Arabidopsis thaliana: one gene and its partners. The protein of the gene in region 3 binds, or shares a complex with, the protein of the main gene of each other region. Each region holds a gene or a part of one and is shown on either strand. Other genes may lie near its edges. The genes, in order: AT4G20980, TIF3B1 and EIF3A.

Evidence for each region.
Region 1: EIF3A (region 3) and AT4G20980 share a complex: the UniProt entries of both Arabidopsis thaliana proteins name them as parts of the eukaryotic translation initiation factor 3 (eIF-3) complex.
Region 2: EIF3A (region 3) and TIF3B1 share a complex: the UniProt entries of both Arabidopsis thaliana proteins name them as parts of the eukaryotic translation initiation factor 3 (eIF-3) complex.

Annotation. Positions count from the first base shown.
Region 1 is NC_003075.7:11,215,004-11,220,166, reverse strand, and holds AT4G20980 (Eukaryotic translation initiation factor 3 subunit 7 (eIF-3)), read right to left. Parts: upstream 3,287-5,163; 5' UTR 3,171-3,286; coding exon 1,395-3,170; 3' UTR 1,380-1,394; exon of another isoform or gene 1,099-1,379; 3' UTR 989-1,098; exon of another isoform or gene 787-988; intron 600-786; 3' UTR 529-599; downstream 1-528. Other genes in the region: ACA4 (alpha carbonic anhydrase 4), read right to left, coding at 1-207, 305-395; AT4G20970 (basic helix-loop-helix (bHLH) DNA-binding superfamily protein), read right to left, coding at 3,955-4,029, 4,312-4,677, 4,777-4,908. UniProt on the Arabidopsis thaliana protein: mRNA cap-binding component of the eukaryotic translation initiation factor 3 (eIF-3) complex, which is involved in protein synthesis of a specialized repertoire of mRNAs and, together with other initiation factors, stimulates binding of mRNA and methionyl-tRNAi to the 40S ribosome.
Region 2 is NC_003076.8:9,780,485-9,787,075, forward strand, and holds TIF3B1 (translation initiation factor 3B1), read right to left. Parts: upstream 4,805-6,591; 5' UTR 4,707-4,804; intron 4,692-4,706; exon of another isoform or gene 4,300-4,691; 5' UTR 4,276-4,299; coding exon 4,166-4,275; intron 3,916-4,165; coding exon 3,678-3,915; intron 3,581-3,677; coding exon 3,356-3,580; intron 3,083-3,355; coding exon 2,954-3,082; intron 2,779-2,953; coding exon 2,650-2,778; intron 2,563-2,649; coding exon 2,479-2,562; intron 2,408-2,478; coding exon 2,283-2,407; intron 2,177-2,282; coding exon 1,978-2,176; intron 1,872-1,977; coding exon 1,339-1,871; intron 1,253-1,338; coding exon 1,144-1,252; intron 1,059-1,143; coding exon 723-1,058; 3' UTR 526-722; downstream 1-525. Other genes in the region: ACBP5 (acyl-CoA binding protein 5), read left to right, coding at 117-296; AT5G27650 (Tudor/PWWP/MBT superfamily protein), read left to right, coding at 5,027-6,176, 6,542-6,591. UniProt on the Arabidopsis thaliana protein: RNA-binding component of the eukaryotic translation initiation factor 3 (eIF-3) complex, which is involved in protein synthesis of a specialized repertoire of mRNAs and, together with other initiation factors, stimulates binding of mRNA and methionyl-tRNAi to the 40S ribosome.
Region 3 is NC_003075.7:6,946,868-6,954,396, reverse strand, and holds EIF3A (eukaryotic translation initiation factor 3A), read left to right. Parts: upstream 1-1,917; 5' UTR 1,918-2,023; intron 2,024-2,286; 5' UTR 2,287-2,343; coding exon 2,344-2,389; intron 2,390-2,495; coding exon 2,496-2,977; intron 2,978-3,065; coding exon 3,066-3,281; intron 3,282-3,414; coding exon 3,415-3,783; intron 3,784-3,871; coding exon 3,872-3,901; intron 3,902-3,990; coding exon 3,991-4,218; intron 4,219-4,333; coding exon 4,334-4,495; intron 4,496-4,611; coding exon 4,612-4,833; intron 4,834-4,923; coding exon 4,924-5,130; intron 5,131-5,211; coding exon 5,212-5,418; intron 5,419-5,507; coding exon 5,508-5,588; intron 5,589-5,744; coding exon 5,745-5,946; intron 5,947-6,051; coding exon 6,052-6,563; 3' UTR 6,564-6,921; downstream 6,922-7,529. Other genes in the region: AT4G11430 (hydroxyproline-rich glycoprotein family protein), read right to left, coding at 155-784, 1,569-1,598; AT4G11410 (NAD(P)-binding Rossmann-fold superfamily protein), read left to right, coding at 7,211-7,316. UniProt on the Arabidopsis thaliana protein: RNA-binding component of the eukaryotic translation initiation factor 3 (eIF-3) complex, which is involved in protein synthesis of a specialized repertoire of mRNAs and, together with other initiation factors, stimulates binding of mRNA and methionyl-tRNAi to the 40S ribosome.

The DNA of each region.
Region 1 (5,163 bases), 4.3 Mb from region 3:
CATGGCCTCTGTTTGTAATTACAGCCGGAGCTGGTTTATATTGTCTTGTCCATGCTTGATCATGAATAAGACTGACTCTTTCGTTAGTAAGATCGATCGGGGATTGATATCTTCCGGTGTTACAAACTTTCCAGTGCGGATTTATTTTGCCCCATCCCTCTGGTCCCTTTTCCGTTTTTTGTTCGTAAGTAAATGGAGTTTCGTCGTCTGTTTTCAGATTAAAGTTAATAACAAATCATTAAATCTGAATTTTGATACAAAAGATTAATTTTACTAGAATGCAATAGAGATGTAGTAATCATACCGACTTCAGAATGAGCGTGTGAAATATTAGGGAAAGATAGATAGATGAAACACATAGCCATGAAGAAAATTGTTTTTGCGTTGGTATCCATGTTTCTCTTCTTTCGAGATTAGATTTTGCTTAATGGAGTATGTTATTATGTTTTGGAGATTGAAGGGTTTAGAGACAACCTATTTAAGAGGAGGCTTTTGGGGGATGTTTGTTCTGCTGTTCTGATATGGTTTTTGCCGTTGCTACGATTATTAGTTAATAATCTGATGTTACTATTGGAAACATGAAAAAAAAAAAAAAAAAACTGAATGCTTAGTAAAAACCATTTTGGTTGAGTTTTCTAATTTGGGGTTTATAATAATAAATATATGTGAAGTATGTCGGTTTAACAGAGATTAAAACCGACCAGGACAATAGGATCTATGTCAGTTTAACAGAGATAAAAACCGACCAGGACAATAGGATCAAGCTCATAAGAGAATACGCCAAACGACCGAAACAAACAAAAGTTGGAACCATAAAATACCAAATTTTATAAAACTAATGCAAAATGATTCAAGAAAATTTGGTGGCTATAAGAGTCATAGTAAAAAGATTTCTGTTCTGTAAACAATCCGTAATGATTTTCCAAAAGATGTCACGAAGATAGTGTTCTACAATCTCATTTCTGACTTAAAATTACAGCAGTACCACAAAAATTTGAAAAAGGACAAGATAATTAAAAAAGGAACCTCCATTGTTGTTGTTTGATTGAAGCTTCAACTCTCAAAAGAACCCAGAAACGAAAGGTGTAGACTTTGGACCTGAAGAATATAGTATCCAAATTGTGAATGACGATGCTTCATACGACGTTTATACTTATAATAAAGATCATCAATTAATCTAAGTCACCAGTTTCTAAACTATAAGAATGAAATTCAGATGAATAAGAACAAGATTCTATGGCTAAGAAGTAAGAACCAACTTTCTGCATTTTCTTGGGTTCTAAGTATAAATTCACGATCCTAAACAAGTGTTCAATCAAATCCAACAAGCATATTATGGTAACCGCCTTTTGAATTTGAGAGTTGTTTGTATGAACTACCTGACTTTATAACCATCAAGCTTGAGCATCATCAGCTTTCTTCTCCTCGGTTTCTTTAGTTGCAGCTACACTTGCTTCTGCTCCCTCTGTGTTTTCCTCAGTTGGCTGAACCTGTTCATCTTCAGGCAACGGTTCCTCAACGTAATCATTCTCGAAAGCATCAGGTGGAACCTCATAAATCCTCACTTGAGGCTTCGATGGATCCTTCACAAGAACATACTTCCCTTCGCTTAGTTTCATACACAGATCAACTATGGATTTCACAATCCCCCACATGTTAGAAGTGTTGAGATTAATCTGTCCAGCGAAATCCTTCGGCTTATACCCCAAAACAGATAATATAACATGGTTGAAATGATCACGAGGATGAACCCTAGAGACAAAACCAATCTTCATCATATCAGCATTAGCCAATAAAGCTTGTGCAGTCCATTTAGCCAACTTATTTCCATTGTTCTTCAATTCTGTAGCTAAAACCGCACCTCTCTGAGTTTCAAGCTTCTGTCTCCAATCAACACCAGAGTACTTAGGATCAAACTCGTTAAGAGCATTCAAAGTAAGAAACGACCTTTGGTTGTTGAGATCAGCAACACTCTGTAACTCACACCTCGCAACAAGATGCATATTATCATCAAGCTTCCACCTTCTATACCTATAAGCAACAGAAGCAATCTCTTCACCTTCATTAGCAAATGGATTGGCTTCATCAAAAGTTTCCTTCTTTCCATCTCTAACCAAAACCTGCTGCGAAAAGTTCTGATTGATGTAAGCAGCTTCCACACCTAGAGAATGAGCAGAATTGATATCATCTTTAGACTCAGGCAATGGCTCTTGAGATGTCTCATGCACAGACAACAAATCAAGCTGTGATCCATCTCTCTTGTCAAAGAACAGTTTGTTACCAACACGTTGAATAACAATATCCCAAGAGTAAACAGATCTAGGAGCACACATAAGAGCAGCTAATATAGCATCAGTAGCGAAAACAGTAGCTTTGTCTTCCTTAGCTAAACGCCTAATCACAGGATCATCACTAGTAGTGACTTTGAAGAAGTTCCTGTTCTTGAAACGCTCGAGTCTGCGTTCGTTTTTCGGCGTTATGCGATCGAAAAGGCGGTTGTAGTACTCAAGGCCACCACAGAGAAGAAGATCTTCTGGTTCTTGAACTGTGTACGAGAGCTTCGAGAATGTTGAGAAAGGGATCTGCTCAAGCATGTTCCACTCCGGCTGAATATCAACGGATGATTTGAAAGCGGCAGCTTCACGGCGTTGGTGATGGATGTTGTTACGGTTGTTATTGTAGAGACGATCACGACGAGCTCGTTCCTTCTCAGCATCACGCTTCTTAGCTTCAACTTCTTCATCTCGCCGTTGAGGAAGCTGATTCCGATTGTGGTGAGGATTGAAACGCCATTTAGGTCCGAATTTAGGACGCGGCGGAGGTTTACCGTCGACGAGACGGAAAGCTGCGTCTTCGTCGGGATTACCACCGGAGGAAGCGAGACCGAAGCCTTCGTCGATTGCGAAAGCGGAGAAATCGAAAACTGCAGACGGATCTGATTTGGATCCGGTGTTAGGACGAGCGGATGGATTAGAGAGATTGCGAGTCCAATCAGCTACACGGCCGAGCTTATCGGAACGGGAGAAGGAAGCGAAAGGAACGTTCGGGAGAAGATTAGCGGCGGCGACGCTGGTGGGAGAGGCGGAGGAGGAAACGTCGGAAGCGTCTGGAGGTCCCCAGCCATCGGAATTGAAAGGAACGGCGACGAATTCGAAAGCTTCGGTTACCATTTCTGAGAAGATAGTGTTGCAGCTGTGTGTGTGGAAAGCGGAAACCCTAATTCTTTAGTCTACGTTGAAGAGAGAAGGTACAAGAAAAAAACATTTTTGTTAATGTTTGGGCTCATGGGCTTTAGTATTCTTCAAAACCCATATATAACACTTGAAGTCTTAAATCATGTTTTTCATTTCTGACTTTGAGAAAAAAATAAAATAAAATAAAAATTTAGAATTCAAATTCATCAATTTGAAATAGTATAACACATTTTTTTTTGATAAACTCTATTTGCTGATCTGGTCAGCTTCGATAGAAACGCACCAAAGTGCTCCGAAGTAAACTTTTCCCGAAGGACCACAACACTATCTGTCCCGAATTTAAATGTTTTCTAACTAATACCACGGGATATTCAAACTCGGATCTGAGAGTTTCACCTATCACCAAAGTTTCTCCTATCACTAGATTACAAATGCTTGGGCAAGTATAACACATTGAAAAAAGGTGAAGTTATTTCGCTCGTTCATGTATTAATTCTAAGAAACTTTTTTTTTTGGTTTCGTTCTTGAAAATCATCATCCTAAGTTTCATATATTTCACAGCTTTGTTGATACCAAAAAACAAAATATATTTCACAGCTTTAAGTAGAGAAAAGTATATATTATGCTTACAAATGAAACATCACTCTCACAGCACATGATACAATTCAAGAAAAGGAATCTAGCTAACACCAAAAATAATTCAAGAAAAGGAACAAAAACATAGAACTTTTTTTTTTAATAAAGGAACAAGGAATCAATATTAGTGAACACTGTTCACAATCTTCTCCAGTCTTTCAGGAATTTGACTCCTAGCTCCATAATCGTGTTCTTCCACCTATATAAAATATAAATTAAATTTAGTTTACTAACATATGGATATTAATAGGAATCAGCTAGTAGAAACTTAACAATCAGATGGGAACATGCAGCTTCTTAGCGTTTTTGAGTGCAAGTTTTATTAAATATAAAAACAACAAGTATAAATATCATTCCCTAACTTTGAACTCATTCCCAATGTGTATACAAGCTGGATTAGACCTAGTTTTAACATAGTAGTAGTAGCAAAGTTTGATTCTTAAATTCCATTGCAAAAAATGTTTTACTTTCCGAATTATACCTTGCAGTGAAGGGTGTGGAAGACAGCATCATCAACAATGGAGTATCCAGCATGAGTGATCTCAGCTCCTAATTCCTCGGTGAGAACACGAATGATCTCACAAAACATAAACTTGTGTTCCAAGCTTGTCACAAGAAAGATGTGAAAAATGGAACCAGTTTCTTGAATCTCGATTTTTGGCAGCTTTCTTGGCACGGAGACATCGACGCTCGACGAAACCGATGAAGATCCGACGGAATTCAGTTTCTCCAAAGTTGTAGTCGCAACGAGGTTCCTTTTCCTTTCTCTCTTTTTCTCCACGTTCACTTGTAGCTTCTTGATGTAGTTTGCAGCTTCATCTAGCTGATCAGGTAGTGTTAAAGGCTCCTAACATGAAATAATAAAAGAGTTTAGAATATTAAGATCATCACCCATACATGGAATCTTAGATTATATAAGCATATAAGAGGGCCAAGAGGAAGAAACCGTAGAAGAATGATGAGGAAGAAGAGAGATGAGTTCTGAGTAGAGAGACTTCATTTGCATCCTTCTATTTTTCTCAACCGTTTTGCGATCTACAGATCTTGATTGACCTGTGTTTGAATGGCTCGGCTCCATTTCTTTTTTTATTCCTGAATTGTTTCACATAGACCATGATAACAAACTCAATGTTAACCAAGCTTATATAAAGAAGGAGGTTGGTTTAAGTGACATCTGATAATTAGTTTGTGCTAACTATTTACTGGAAAAGGGTTTGTAATATATATGTACCAAAGACTAAAAAAAAAAAAAGCAAAACAAAGTGGAAAAAAGTAAGTTCTTTAAATATATATCTTGACTCGTCGTTATGGTCAATTATATATTTTATGTGTT
Region 2 (6,591 bases), on a different chromosome or scaffold from region 3:
AAGTCATTTTGTTTCACTTTTATAGTAAGTCTGGGTTGATATTTGAATCTCGATGGTGAAACATTCCTCTCCGATGTTGACCAAATCCTAACAAAACTCGGTCTAAGTGCCCGCAGGTTGAAGTTGCAGAGCTAAGACAAAAGCTTCAGACAATGGAAACACTTCAAAAGGAACTCGAACTCCTCCAACGTCAAAGAGCCGTTGCGTCTGAACAAGCCGCCACCATGAACGCCAAACGACAAAGCTCTGGTGGCGTCTGGGGTTGGCTCGCTGGAACTCCTCCGCCTAAAACATGAGTGCCCATGAAACTTTTTTTCGGGTAACTCTTTTTTGTCATTACCAATATCAGTATTTACTTTTAGAAAGAAAGAAAAAGAGAGAAATACAGTATAGACAATTTTTAGCGTCTCCGCATTGTTACTAGTGAAAATAAGGTCTATAGTTGTTTCTACTACAGTATGATTGATGAGTTGCCATTTGAAGATTCAGTTTCTATATAAGCTCTACCGATTTGTGTGTAATTATGTTACACTACAAGCTATATTGTATTGGTAATTTTTCTACCATTTAGTACCATTACATGTGATAAGCACCATACTTCATCAACTAACAACGAAATTTTCAATCATGAAGGAACCAAAAATTATCTTCCAAGTATAGCGAACACGATTTAAAATTGTCTAAGGGATCCAAAGAGATGGCAACAAAAGAGACCGAGTATCTTACGACTCTTGAACGATTTCCTCAGTGACATCGATAAGATCCTCAAACTCAACTTCTTTGGCTTCATATTCATCTTCTTCCACATCACTTACTTCACCATCCCGAAGGTTTTGCCTCACGAGTTTCTCCTCTTCATGCAGAGACTTCCACTGCATTACCCATTTCTCCCATTCTTCCTTCAATGCCTTTCTCTTCTCTCTGTCTTGTTCACTCAACAGCAACGACACGTCCTGATCCTCTGCCTCATACTTCTTGCTGTACTTCTTCAGGGTCTTTGCTATCTCTTCTTCCTTCTCTGCAGTCAAGAATGATGGAGGTCTTGGACGCCAAGCCAACTGTGTAACCAACCATACACAAATATTTTATTAGACATCGGAATGGACGATGCTCGTTTAAGACCGAGTTTTTCTTGTTACATACCTGGAAGAAATGATCCTTCAATATCCGGTAAAGCATAATCCCGTTGAAAGACCATATGGTGAACCCATTCTCCATCTCATGGACTGATGTCACTGCGGTTGCAACGTACCTTTGAAAATAAAAAAGTGCAAACAACATCAGCAATTGGAACAAATAGAAACAACCAAAGGACTGGTTTAGTTAAGACAGTAGGACCTTCCAGTCGGGTCCCATTCGATATCCGTGGCCATGAAGTGTTCAGCTGTGGCCATTGTCTCGAGCTCATCCACGTTGAAAAATTCAAGCTGGCCATTGAAACCTTTTAACCCAGCAAGAATTATGTACTTGCCTGTGGGCGACCAGAAGAGGGCATTAGCTTGTTTGGCCTTCAAAGTTGCGAGCTTTGAAACCCTTCCAGTGTTTTGTGCGGTCTTCATTGAGTAGAAACTGACATCTGGTCTTGGTTGGTCACCATGAATCACAGCAAACCTGTGACCCTTGGGCTCCCATGCAAAAGCAATGATCTTGTCGTTCTTGTTGTCCAGCTCAAGAACCTCGATGGGAATATCCCTTTCTTTGATACGGAAAAGTTCAAATCCAGAGTATGTGCTCTTCTTAGTTTTTGTGTATCGATCAACCTTGACAGCAAGATACTCTCCACTACTCTGCCAGTACATCTTGCAGTCGCTCACACTGAAGAGATTCTTCTGCCTCAGCTCCACCTTGCTCGGGATTTGGACTAGGGCAACCTGAAGAAGGGATATCAACATGTAATTTCAAAACACCAGGCAGAGAAACAGAAGCAAATTAAGGATTCAGAGCTTTTCATGTACATCAGAAATAATAGAAACATACCTTCGCAGGTTGGTTTCCACCACCTTGTTCAGGAACAAACAATGAAAGGATGGAATCAGTAGGAGACCAGCAGATATCCACAACATTATCTACCTTCATGGATTTCTTGTCTATTAGGCTGAAAGTCTCAGTCTCATAGACAGAGATAGTGTTTTTGCTAAGCTTGGCAAAGTATTTATCATCTTTTCCACCAGCCCATCTGTAGAAAAAGTTTACAAGATATCAACATATGTCCATAATAGTGGAGAAGATGATAATATTGGCTGTTTATTTTTAGGACATTGACATGCAGTTGAAAGAATTACCTGAAAACAGGCCAAGAGGCACCAGCAACACCACCAGGTCCTCCAATTGAAAACTCATCAGCACTACCCTTGAAATCTCTCATCATCCTCCCGGTTCTCACATCAAAAACCTTAATCTCAACTTTCTGAAAGTTTGACAGAATTCAGCGTCACAAATAGTAAAAGTTGAAAAGAACAGAAGAAAAGATGCACTCACACTTGCATCTCGCGGGTTGCTTGGTTCTTGGCTATGGTAAGTTACAAGATATTTCTCACCTGGCGAGAAATCAACTAGTTTTACCTAAAACATAATCAACAAAAGATGCAATTTTCAGGCCAACAGAGGAAAAACGGAAGTAATATGTAGCAATTGAAAGGAAATTCAAACCATAGAATGCTGATAACGCATGAGACGCGTGAATGTATCAGCACCACCCCAAACAGCTGCCCCCTGCTTGTGGAGTGTCACAAGGTATGTACCTAAAGGAGACCACTGCACATAACTCTCTGTCCAATACTGCATAGGAAGAGAACATCATTAATTCAAATGAAGGTAACATAACATATAAAAGTGCTCTAAACAGTCAAGTAAACAAATAAGGGATATTAATTCAAATGAAGGTAACATAACATATACATTGCTCTAAACAGTCAAGTAAACAAAAGGGATATACACACAGGAAGTAACTTACAGGACGCTTATGAACAGGTTCAGGCGCCTTCTGCCTAGTATCATTCCAGAAAACTTCAGTATCAGGGCCAGAACGAATGACTAGCTGGTCTCGGGCTTTTTCATCAGTAAGCCATTTTTGCAAATTTTCCTGAAAAAACAAACACCATATAAGTAACGACAATTAGCACCACAAAAGGCTGCAATGAATTAAAATATATACATGAAACAAGAGTTATGAAATTATAGTTATTAGTTAGTATACATCAATTACGTAAAAAGATCCTAACCCTAACGCAGCAGGCAAACACAAAATAAATCAGCGAATTACCAAAATAAAGAAGTGATTACACAGACACAATGGAAGTTATTCAAAGAAAATTATTCAAGGTACAGGGAGTAACATGATGAAAACTACACATACCCCAGGGACGTAGGGCCTGGCCTGAGGAGGCTCCCACTCCTCCTTCACATTCATCAACCTGTCAAAATCATCGAACATGTTTACAGCAAAGATGTGAGACTTGTCCAACTTGTAGCCATGAGACTTTTCCTTAGCGTTTTGTGCTTCCTGCAAAGAGCCCCAGACATTGAGAGAAACTCTTAGGAAATACTCAACCATTAAGAACAACCTAGTTTGGGCTCCTTTCTAACAAGAGAAATAAAGTATTGAAACATATGACGCCGACATTATTGCTTCAGAATCCAACAAAACAGAGATTAAGCTAATCAAGTAGATAAATAACCTGAGGAGTGTTGAACTCAATAAAACAGTAGCCCAATGTCATCTTGGTATCGGGATCAACAGGCATCCACAGTCCATTTTCCTTAATCACACCTAACTGGTTGTAAATTTTCTTGACAACACCTTCAAGTTTCTCAAACTTCTCCTTGGGAACAACAGGGAGGTGATCGACCACGATAATGTTACCGAATCCAGTGTCGAATTCAGACTGGTCATCCTGGTAAACAGCTTCATCATCACTACAACCATCACAGAAAAAAAAAGTGTATAACGAATCAGTTCCATTTTTCATACGTTCATAGATAAAATGTATAAATATAATAAGCTTTGCACCATCAAGGAAAGAGATAAACCAATTCGAAATACACAAAATTTTCATACATACAATAGCAAAACCTAGAATAAAATCATCCCATCGTATAAACACAAGAAGATTAGAAATAGAAGTGACCGTATATGAACAACCAGAGATCTAAAGGAAAATCTCACCTCTCGATCCCAAAGTCTTCTCCAGGAGGAAGTTGGATGGAATCAAAATTAACCTGAGACCAATCAATCCCTAACTTAGCAGCTCGGGCATCAATATCAACGACCTCCATGATTTCAAACCTTATATCAAAAATCTGCCAAAGAAAGCCATATAGAGAGAGCTATCAGTCTTTAACACATTCCAACTTTAAGTCGATAAATAAATGTGAAAAATCTGAGTCTTTAGATCTAAAAGTAGGTTTTTTGTTAACCCTAAACAAGTATTAAAACAACAAACTACCATGGCCAAATGTTCAAAGACTAAAACTTTGAATCATCACTCCCACTATAATGTAAATCTAAAACCATGCCTATAGAAATTATTAACTATACTCTAGTTTTATTTAATCTAGAACCCAACAACAGGTGAAATGGAGAAAAATGGCAAAATTTTCCTGAAGGCTCTCTTATATCTATTGCATCGTTCTGGATCCTGTCTCATAGCTACATAAGAAAAGACAAAAAAAACAAATGAACACTGAAATCGAGATAAGAAACGTACCCAATACAGAGATCAGCCGAGAGCAAAAAACAAAGAAGAAGACGGCGCTTGAAGGTGAGGAAGAAGGAGCGATTGTTTTCAGGTCTTTTTGGATCATACGACGTCGGTTCCTTAAACGGGCTTATAAATATTTATATGGGCCGGGTAAGCCCAATTCAATAGTAATCAGTAGATCTAATTTATTGTCTTTCTCTCGATTAGCTTTTTTTTTTTTTTAACAATAATCCGTCTCTTTCATTTGGTGTCCTCGAGAACCAAATTCGGATAATCTCTCATCGGAGGATCGTTGTTGTTGTTGCTAGGGTTCTTATCGATTTGTAATGTACAAAACTAAATTAATCCCGGTGATGAACGAGGATGCTGTGATTGTTCAACAAACGGATTCGATTCAGGATCCTAAGGTAACTCCAGATGATACTGTAGTTGATTCGAGCGGGGATGTTCACGAAGCCATTGATGATGATGTTGAAGCTTCTTCACCTATGGAGCTAGATTCGGCGGTTACAAATGACGCTAGGGTTCTCGAAAGTGAGAGATCGGAGAAAGATGGTGTCGTAGGGAGTGAGGAGGAAGATGAGATTAAAAGCGAGGATGTTTTAATTGATAAGGATGATGAGAGTTCTGAGGTTAAAGAAGAAGAAGAAGAAGAAGATGGCTCTGATGATCAATCTAGTGAGCTTGGTTCTGAAGCTGATGAGAAGGAATTAGATTTGGGTTTGAAGGAAGAGAAAAAAGGAGTTTCGGATTATAAATCTCTTTTATCTGAGTTTGATGATTATGTTGCAAGTGAGAAAATGGGTTCTGGAGTTTCGAGGGCATTGAGTTATGGGTTTGAAGTTGGAGATTTGGTTTGGGGAAAGGTAAAGTCTCATCCTTGGTGGCCTGGTCATATATTCAATGAAGCTTTTGCGTCTCCTTCTGTTCGTCGTATGAGGAGGATTGATCATGTTCTTGTTGCGTTTTTCGGTGATAGTAGTTATGGTTGGTTTGATCCTGCTGAGCTTATTCCTTTCGAACCGAATTTAGAGGAGAAATCACAGCAGACGGTTTCGAAGCATTTTGTGAGAGCTGTGGAGGAAGCCAAGGATGAGGCGAGTAGAAGGTCAGCTCTTGGTTTGACTTGTAAATGTCGGAATCCTTATAACTTTAGGCCTAGTAATGTGGAAGATTACTTTGCTGTTGATGTGCCTGATTACGAGCTTCAAGCCGTTTACTCTGTTGATCAGATTAAGAATTCTAGGGATAAGTTTTTACCCGCTGAAACCATTTCGTTTGTGAAGCAATTGGCGTTAGCACCTCAAGAGTGTGATCCAGACAGTTTAAAGTTTATGAAGAAGAAAGCAGTGGTTTTTGCTTTCCGCAAGTCAGTGTTTGAGGAGTTTGATGAAACTTATGCACAGGCCTTTGGGACAAAATCACCCCGCAGTTCAGTGAGTACGCTGGAACCTCATAATAGAGCACCGCCTCGAGGTATTAGCCACTTTTCAGAAAATCATGTTATTGTTTGTATATGGGTTTTTTCGTTGTAGACTTGAAACAGCTTTCATATGTGTTACATAGATATTAGATACTGTAACTTGGTTTTAGGGTTTTACTTTTAGATCCTCTGTGCTCATGATTTTAGGATTTATATCTTTGTAGTTGAATTCTTTACATAGCATGCTTGAAAGAATAGTGAAGTCTCATTGATGCTAAACTGTGCATTCGAAAACGTGGCCTGATAACAATTCTGCGCCTCTTTCTACTATGGAGAGTCCCGCATACATTTACCTTGTTTGCTTTATTGTTCATTTTCTTGGTGGGTGATGTGTTGTTTCAATTTCTCTTATTTCCAGCTCCCTTGAGTGGCCCACTGGTCATAGCAGAAACGCTAGGTGACCTTAAG
Region 3 (7,529 bases):
TGTGCCGTAGACTTTCGATCAATAAAAAAACATTTACGAGAAAAAAATATGGGTGAATTGCAAAACTAACTGTTTTTGATAATTTATTTAAGAAACTAACACTATAATATACAAAATGTAGAAACTAACACTAGAGGGTAGTAAACTTACTAAATTAGTCTTTTTGATTGGAGATGGTAGTGGTGGTGATGGTTGTGGCCGGCGGTGGTGGATGGAGTTGATGGTGGTCGGAAGTGTTGGTGATCGGTGTGGTGGTTGCCGGCGGTGGTGGTGGTGGCCGGTGGTGGTGGTGGCCGGTGGTGGTGGTGGTGACCGGCGGGGTGATGGTCGGCGGTGGTGGTGGTGGTGGTGGTGGTGGTGGTGGTGACCGGCGGTGGTGGTGGTGGCCGGCGGTGGTGGTGGTGACCGGCGGGGTGATGGTCGGCGGTGGTGGTGGTGGTGGTGGTGGTGGTGGTGGTGACCGGCGGTGGTGGTGGTGGCCGGTGGTGGTGATGGCCGACAGTGGTGGTGGCGGTGGTGGTGGTGGCCGAAGTTGGTGGTGGCCGGAGTTGGTGGTGGCCGGATTTGATGGTGGCCGACAGTGACGGTGACCGGTGTTGGTGGTGACCGGAATAGATGGTGGCCGAAGTTGGCGGTGATGGCCGGCGGTGGTGGCAGGCAGTGGTGGCCGGCGGTGGTGGCAGGCAGTGATGGCCGGCGGTGGTGACCGGTGGTGGTGACCGGTGGTGGCCGGCGGTGGTGACCGGCGGTGGTGGCCGGCGGTGGTGGCCAGCGGTGGTGGTTGCTACTGAAGGTATTGAGGCAACAAGGGCAAATTGAGTAATATTACATATAATACAGAGAATATTATAATTACATAGTTAGGATGGTTAGTTAGTGAATTATAGTTTTTTTGTTAGTTATTTCTGCAAATTTCCCAAAAAAATATATCAATTTCCACTAATTTTTTTTATGTACATGTTGGATTCTAGAAAATCAATGAATTTAACAAAACAAATTCATGATCATCGCACAAATTGGCTAAAATATTGTTGATTTTGGAATTGGATGGAAGGTTAATTGTAGATTATAACGGAATTTAAATTGTTTGAATCTTGGAGTAACTCAAAAATATAGATCAAAATGATTACATATGGCTATGTTCTATTGCAAATCGTGAGCGACAGTTCCGACAAAAAAAATACGTCGATAGTAAAATAATTCAAAAATAATCTGTTATATTAATTTTCCATCACATATTTCCAATGCCTTGCTTAAATATATATTTTGAACTGTATAATGTTCTTATACTCTTGTTACTTACCTAGTATAATTAAGAAAAAAACAGTTAAAAGTAAGCTAACAATCCCTATTTGTAATAGAAAAAATCATATTCAAATTTTCAATTTTTTTATATAAATGCAATAATCATAATTAATTTTTTTTATATGAATTTATAATTGCCCAATTATAAATATTAAAGCGGGTTAACACAATTATACTTTAAAAAAAATTTAATTGAATAACATCAGATTCTATATTACACTTTAAGTCATTAAAACTCTTTTGAAATCATAAACCAATAACACCCTTTTACAGTTGAATTTTTTACCTTTCATGATTTTATGTAAATCAATTGTTTTTTTGAAATGAATTTTTGTAGTGGCATTTTATGTAATATTTAATATGTTGTTGGCTATTTACTTAAATGTATGTTTAGTTAATAATATAGAAATATCAAAGTTAATTGCTAAAAATATTATTAAACAAAATATAGAGAGTATATTGTAAATGATAATTCGAAAATGAAATCCATAAATTTTGTTGATCTCAATTGAATCACATCCCAGTATTAGACAAATTGGGTTTTATAAACACTAAGAAGATAAAACGGGGTCATTTCGAAACCGTAAGAAAATAGGATGATTTCTGCAAATATGGGTAATATATATGTAGAACGATAATATTAATACCAGAAACCCTAGAGTTGCTTCCGCTTCGCTTCTCGTCTCTCTTATCAGTCTTCTCTTTTCACGGCTACAAGGTTAGTCCTAAGTTTCGGCTCTGTTCTTGCATCAGTGATTGGATCTCTACTGCCTTTTAATCAAATCTCATTGAATTGATCTGGGTTAGGGTTTGGGTCAGGTTATCGAATCTTTCTGTGTTATTTTGATTCTATGAAATGAATTTAGGGTTTGGGCAAGTTTTTTCTGGTCTATGTAGCTTCCATCCTTTTCTGAGATATCTGATTGGGTTTTTCGGATTCTGGTGATCTCTGTAACAAAATCGCTTCTCTGTGTTTTTCAGGCTAATTGAGAGTGTCCCTTGCGTTAGAGTTTGTTACTAGCTTTTTTCGTCTGAAACATGGCGAATTTTGCCAAACCAGAGAACGCGTTGAAGCGTGCTGATGGTAAGTTACGAAATGTTTTCGTTTTAACATCCATTTGGTCAAATGGATGTGGTTAGGGTGTGTATGAATTGAGATTGTGTTAAACACTTTTTTTTTGTGTGTGTAGAATTGATCAATGTTGGACAGAAACAAGATGCTCTTCAGGCGCTTCATGATCTCATTACTTCCAAGAGATACAGAGCTTGGCAGAAACCGCTTGAGAAGATCATGTTTAAGTATCTTGATCTTTGTGTTGACTTGAAGAGGGGTCGATTCGCTAAGGATGGATTGATTCAGTATCGTATTGTTTGCCAGCAAGTGAATGTCAGTTCCTTGGAGGAAGTTATCAAGCACTTCCTACATCTTGCTACTGACAAAGCTGAGCAAGCTCGGTCTCAGGCGGATGCCCTTGAGGAGGCTCTTGATGTTGATGACCTTGAAGCTGATAGGAAGCCTGAGGATTTACAGCTAAGTATTGTCAGTGGGGAGAAGGGAAAAGATAGGTCTGACCGTGAGTTGGTCACCCCATGGTTTAAGTTTCTGTGGGAGACATACAGGACAGTCCTTGAGATATTGCGAAACAACTCAAAGTTGGAAGCACTTTATGCGGTTTGTTTTCTTCTAGGTTAAGCTTATTGGTGATACCTCTGATTTTAAGTTGATTGAGATTGAAGACTTGTACTTTATAATCTTGTAGATGACAGCACATAAAGCCTTCCAGTTCTGTAAGCAGTACAAGCGAACAACAGAGTTCCGTAGGCTTTGTGAAATTATAAGAAATCATTTGGCAAACCTGAACAAGTACAGAGACCAAAGGGACCGACCTGACTTATCAGCCCCTGAGAGCTTGCAGCTGTATCTGGACACAAGGTTTGATCAGTTGAAAGTTGCTACTGAGCTTGGACTTTGGCAGGTGCGTTTTTGTTTTCTATGTGTATTTTTCTGATGCTACCTTCTCTATTCCATATTTAGTTTGGCTGTATATAGCTTATCCTCTGTATAATTACTGGAAATAAGTTAGTATGGTTCGTGATGTATCTTTGCAGGAAGCTTTTCGCTCTGTTGAAGATATCTATGGATTAATGTGCATGGTCAAAAAAACGCCCAAGTCATCTTTATTGATGGTTTATTATTCCAAATTGACTGAGATCTTCTGGATTTCTTCTAGCCATCTTTATCATGCTTATGCATGGTTTAAGCTGTTTAGTCTGCAGAAAAATTTCAACAAGAATTTAAGCCAAAAGGATTTGCAGCTAATAGCGTCATCTGTTGTCTTGGCGGCATTGTCCATTCCACCATTTGATCGGGCTCAGAGCGCATCCCATATGGAACTTGAAAATGAGAAAGAACGCAATTTGAGGATGGCTAACCTCATTGGATTCAATCTTGAACCTAAATTTGAGGGCAAAGATATGGTAACATAGGTTCTTATGTTGCTTCATTTTTATTTTGCGCCCTTTCTTTCTGGTTTAGTATTCTAATTCCATTTCCTTCCTGTTTCAGCTTTCCCGGTCAGCTCTTCTGTCAGAGCTGGTGAGTCTCTAGCTGTTACCCTGTCTGTGGTTTAGAATATTTGTCGACTTACAAATATCTGATTTGGAGGCTGATTTTTATGCAATTAGGTTTCAAAAGGTGTTTTGAGCTGTGCATCTCAGGAGGTCAAAGATCTTTTCCATGTTTTGGAGCATGAATTTCACCCACTTGATCTTGGCTCCAAGATTCAGCCTTTGCTGGAAAAGATTTCCAAATCTGGTGGGAAACTGTCCTCAGCTCCTTCTTTACCAGAAGTGCAACTTTCCCAATATGTTCCTTCTCTGGAGAAGCTTGCTACTCTGAGGCTACTTCAACAGGTAAGCCTTGTTCTCTATGTTGTAGGTCAATACCCATTCAACCATTTTGGATTTTTCTGGTGGTTTATCCCTTTTTCTGCATACTAAATGTTCTATGTTCCGATTTTATTTTCAGGTGTCTAAGATTTATCAGACAATAAGAATTGAGAGTTTATCTCAGTTGGTACCCTTCTTTCAATTCTCAGAGGTAGAGAAGATTTCTGTTGATGCTGTGAAGAACAATTTTGTTGCCATGAAAGTTGATCACATGAAGGGTGTTGTAATTTTTGGAAATTTGGTAAGCCTCTGTTAAAGCTTCAGCTCAACACTGATTATATCATATGTAGTTGAGTAATATAATTTTTAACTTATTGACTAAATACTAATCTATTTGATCAACTGTTTGTATATTAGGGTATTGAGTCTGATGGACTGAGGGATCATCTGGCTGTTTTTGCCGAGTCTTTGAGCAAAGTAAGAGCTATGCTGTATCCTGTCCCAAGTAAAGCATCAAAACTAGCTGGCGTTATACCAAATTTAGCAGATACTGTTGAGAAAGAGCACAAAAGACTGCTTGCTCGTAAATCAATCATTGAAAAGAGGAAGGAGGATCAAGAGCGTCAGCAACTAGAAATGGTAGTTACTTTTCCATGGTTATTTGCACAGCTCTCCTTTTACGCTGTACCTGTTTATGAAAATTCCTTTATTTGATGTTTACTTTTGAAGGAACGTGAAGAGGAGCAGAAACGGCTTAAGCTTCAGAAGCTAACTGAAGAGGCAGAACAAAAGAGACTTGCAGCAGAGCTTGCAGAGAGAAGAAAACAAAGAATCCTTAGAGAGATAGAGGAGAAGGAGCTTGAAGAAGCCCAAGCTTTACTGGAAGAGACAGAGAAGCGCATGAAAAAGGGAAAGAAGAAGCCACTTTTAGACGGAGTAAGTTTACCAATATGTTAGCTATTATATAGTTCACTGATTAACTTATTACTAATGTCGGTTGGGTTAAACTAAATATAGGAGAAGGTGACAAAGCAATCTGTGAAGGAAAGGGCCTTAACTGAGCAGCTCAAGGAAAGGCAAGAAATGGAGAAGAAGCTTCAAAAGCTTGCCAAAACGATGGATTATTTGGAAAGAGCAAAGAGAGAAGAGGCTGCTCCATTGATTGAAGCTGCATATCAGCGAAGACTGGTAGAGGAAAGAGAGTTTTATGAGCGTGAACAACAGGTACTTACTGTTTCAGTAGTTTTTCTTTTCTTACAACTTGGTTCTGTGTTGGAAGTATATGAGGTCTTAAAAGCTCTTCTCCTATGCAGCGTGAAGTTGAACTCAGTAAAGAGCGTCATGAGAGTGACTTGAAGGAGAAGAACAGGTTGTCCAGAATGTTGGGTAATAAGGTCAGTCTTTGACATGTCATGTTGTTTCTCTTAATGTTCATCTTTGATCTGAATCTCTTTTCGTTATTGAATTAATTTTAAAGCTCTCTAGTTTCTTACATTTTTCCTGTAACTTTTCCTTCCAATGTACTTATAATCGAATCTTTCTGTGCCCAGGAAATATTCCAAGCACAAGTGATTAGTCGTCGACAAGCAGAGTTTGACAGAATCAGGACGGAGAGAGAGGAGCGTATCAGTAAAATAATCCGAGAGAAGAAGCAAGAAAGGGATATCAAGAGGAAGCAGATATATTATTTGAAAATTGAAGAAGAAAGGATTAGGAAGCTGCAGGAAGAAGAGGAAGCTCGCAAGCAGGAAGGTGTGGACTTGCTTCCATAAATCCACATCATTTTGACTTTGATATTGAAGTTTTTCTTAATAACCCCTTGTTTCTGTTTATTTTTTGGGTTTTCCTCTAATGTAGAAGCTGAGAGGCTCAAGAAGGTAGAAGCTGAACGCAAAGCAAACTTGGATAAAGCTTTTGAGAAGCAAAGGCAGAGAGAGATAGAGCTGGAAGAGAAAAGTAGGCGGGAACGAGAAGAGCTGTTGAGAGGAACTAATGCACCACCTGCTCGCCTTGCAGAGCCTACTGTTACTCCTGTTGGAACTACCGCACCAGCAGCAGCAGCAGCAGCAGCAGGAGCACCAGCAGCACCTTATGTTCCGAAGTGGAAGCGCCAGACTACTGAGGTCTCAGGCCCATCAGCACCAACATCATCAGAAACTGACCGACGGTCCAACCGTGGGCCGCCTCCCGGAGATGACCACTGGGGAAGCAACAGAGGAGCCGCTCAGAATACTGACCGGTGGACTAGTAATAGGGAAAGATCTGGACCTCCAGCTGAAGGAGGAGACCGTTGGGGTTCTGGTCCTAGAGGCAGTGATGATCGCCGATCCACATTTGGAAGCTCCAGGCCCAGGCCAACACAGCGTTGAGTAATAATAATTTTTTTGGTCTCAATCTCCATGGGAATGAATGAAAAAGGTTATCTCTGGATTTTCAACATCACAGCACTCTTCTTTAGCCCAAACCTGTCTCTTCTTCTTTTGAAGATTGCTCATCTTTTATAAGTTTTTATGAAAGATTTTAAAACATGTTAGACTCGTTTTTTGCTCTACACACCCAGAGAGAGTTGTTATTTCCTTCTTCGGTTGGATCTTTCTTTGTTTGTCCAATTTATTTCCAACTTTCTGCTGTAAAAACCTTTGACATTGATCAGCTTCTCTTTCAAGCAAACTTTTTGTTAATTGCTTATTATTAGTTTATGAAGAACAATAAACGAATACCAAATTTCACATTTAACAACATTTGTATCAAAAATGTAAATAGTGTATACAAACATCTTTATTCTTATCTCTGGATTAAGGAAGAAAACAAATGAAACTGTAATTAATACTTTTATACGAGATTCTTCAGTGCCTTGTTTTGAGAACAGAGCATGGGCACATTGCAAAAGCTCTCGGAAAAAGAAATTTTATAATTGGTCAACTTTACTAGGGTGTGTGTTTGATCATCAGCTAGCGTTGGTTTGGTTGAGATTAGACTTTAATTTTGTGGTACAGAAGATAGAAACAAAACAAACATGTGGCCTTTTTGGTGGAAAGGAGCATCTGGGTTCTCTGCTCGTTCCACAGCTGAAGAAGTCACTCATGGAATCGATGGTACTGGTCTCACTGCTATCGTCACAGGTCCTCTTCTTCTTCTTCTTCTTCTTCTTCTTCTTCTTCTTCGTGCAGATGTTTTCAACTTTTTTATGATCTATGTTCAGTCTATAGTTTAATTTCTTGGTTTTGATCCTGCCCTTGAACTCAAGTTGTTGTTGGTATCTGTTAATGGACTAAAGGATTAAACTTTATCAGGCTTGTTAAGAACACATCTTGAAGCAAAGGAGAAGATTTTGC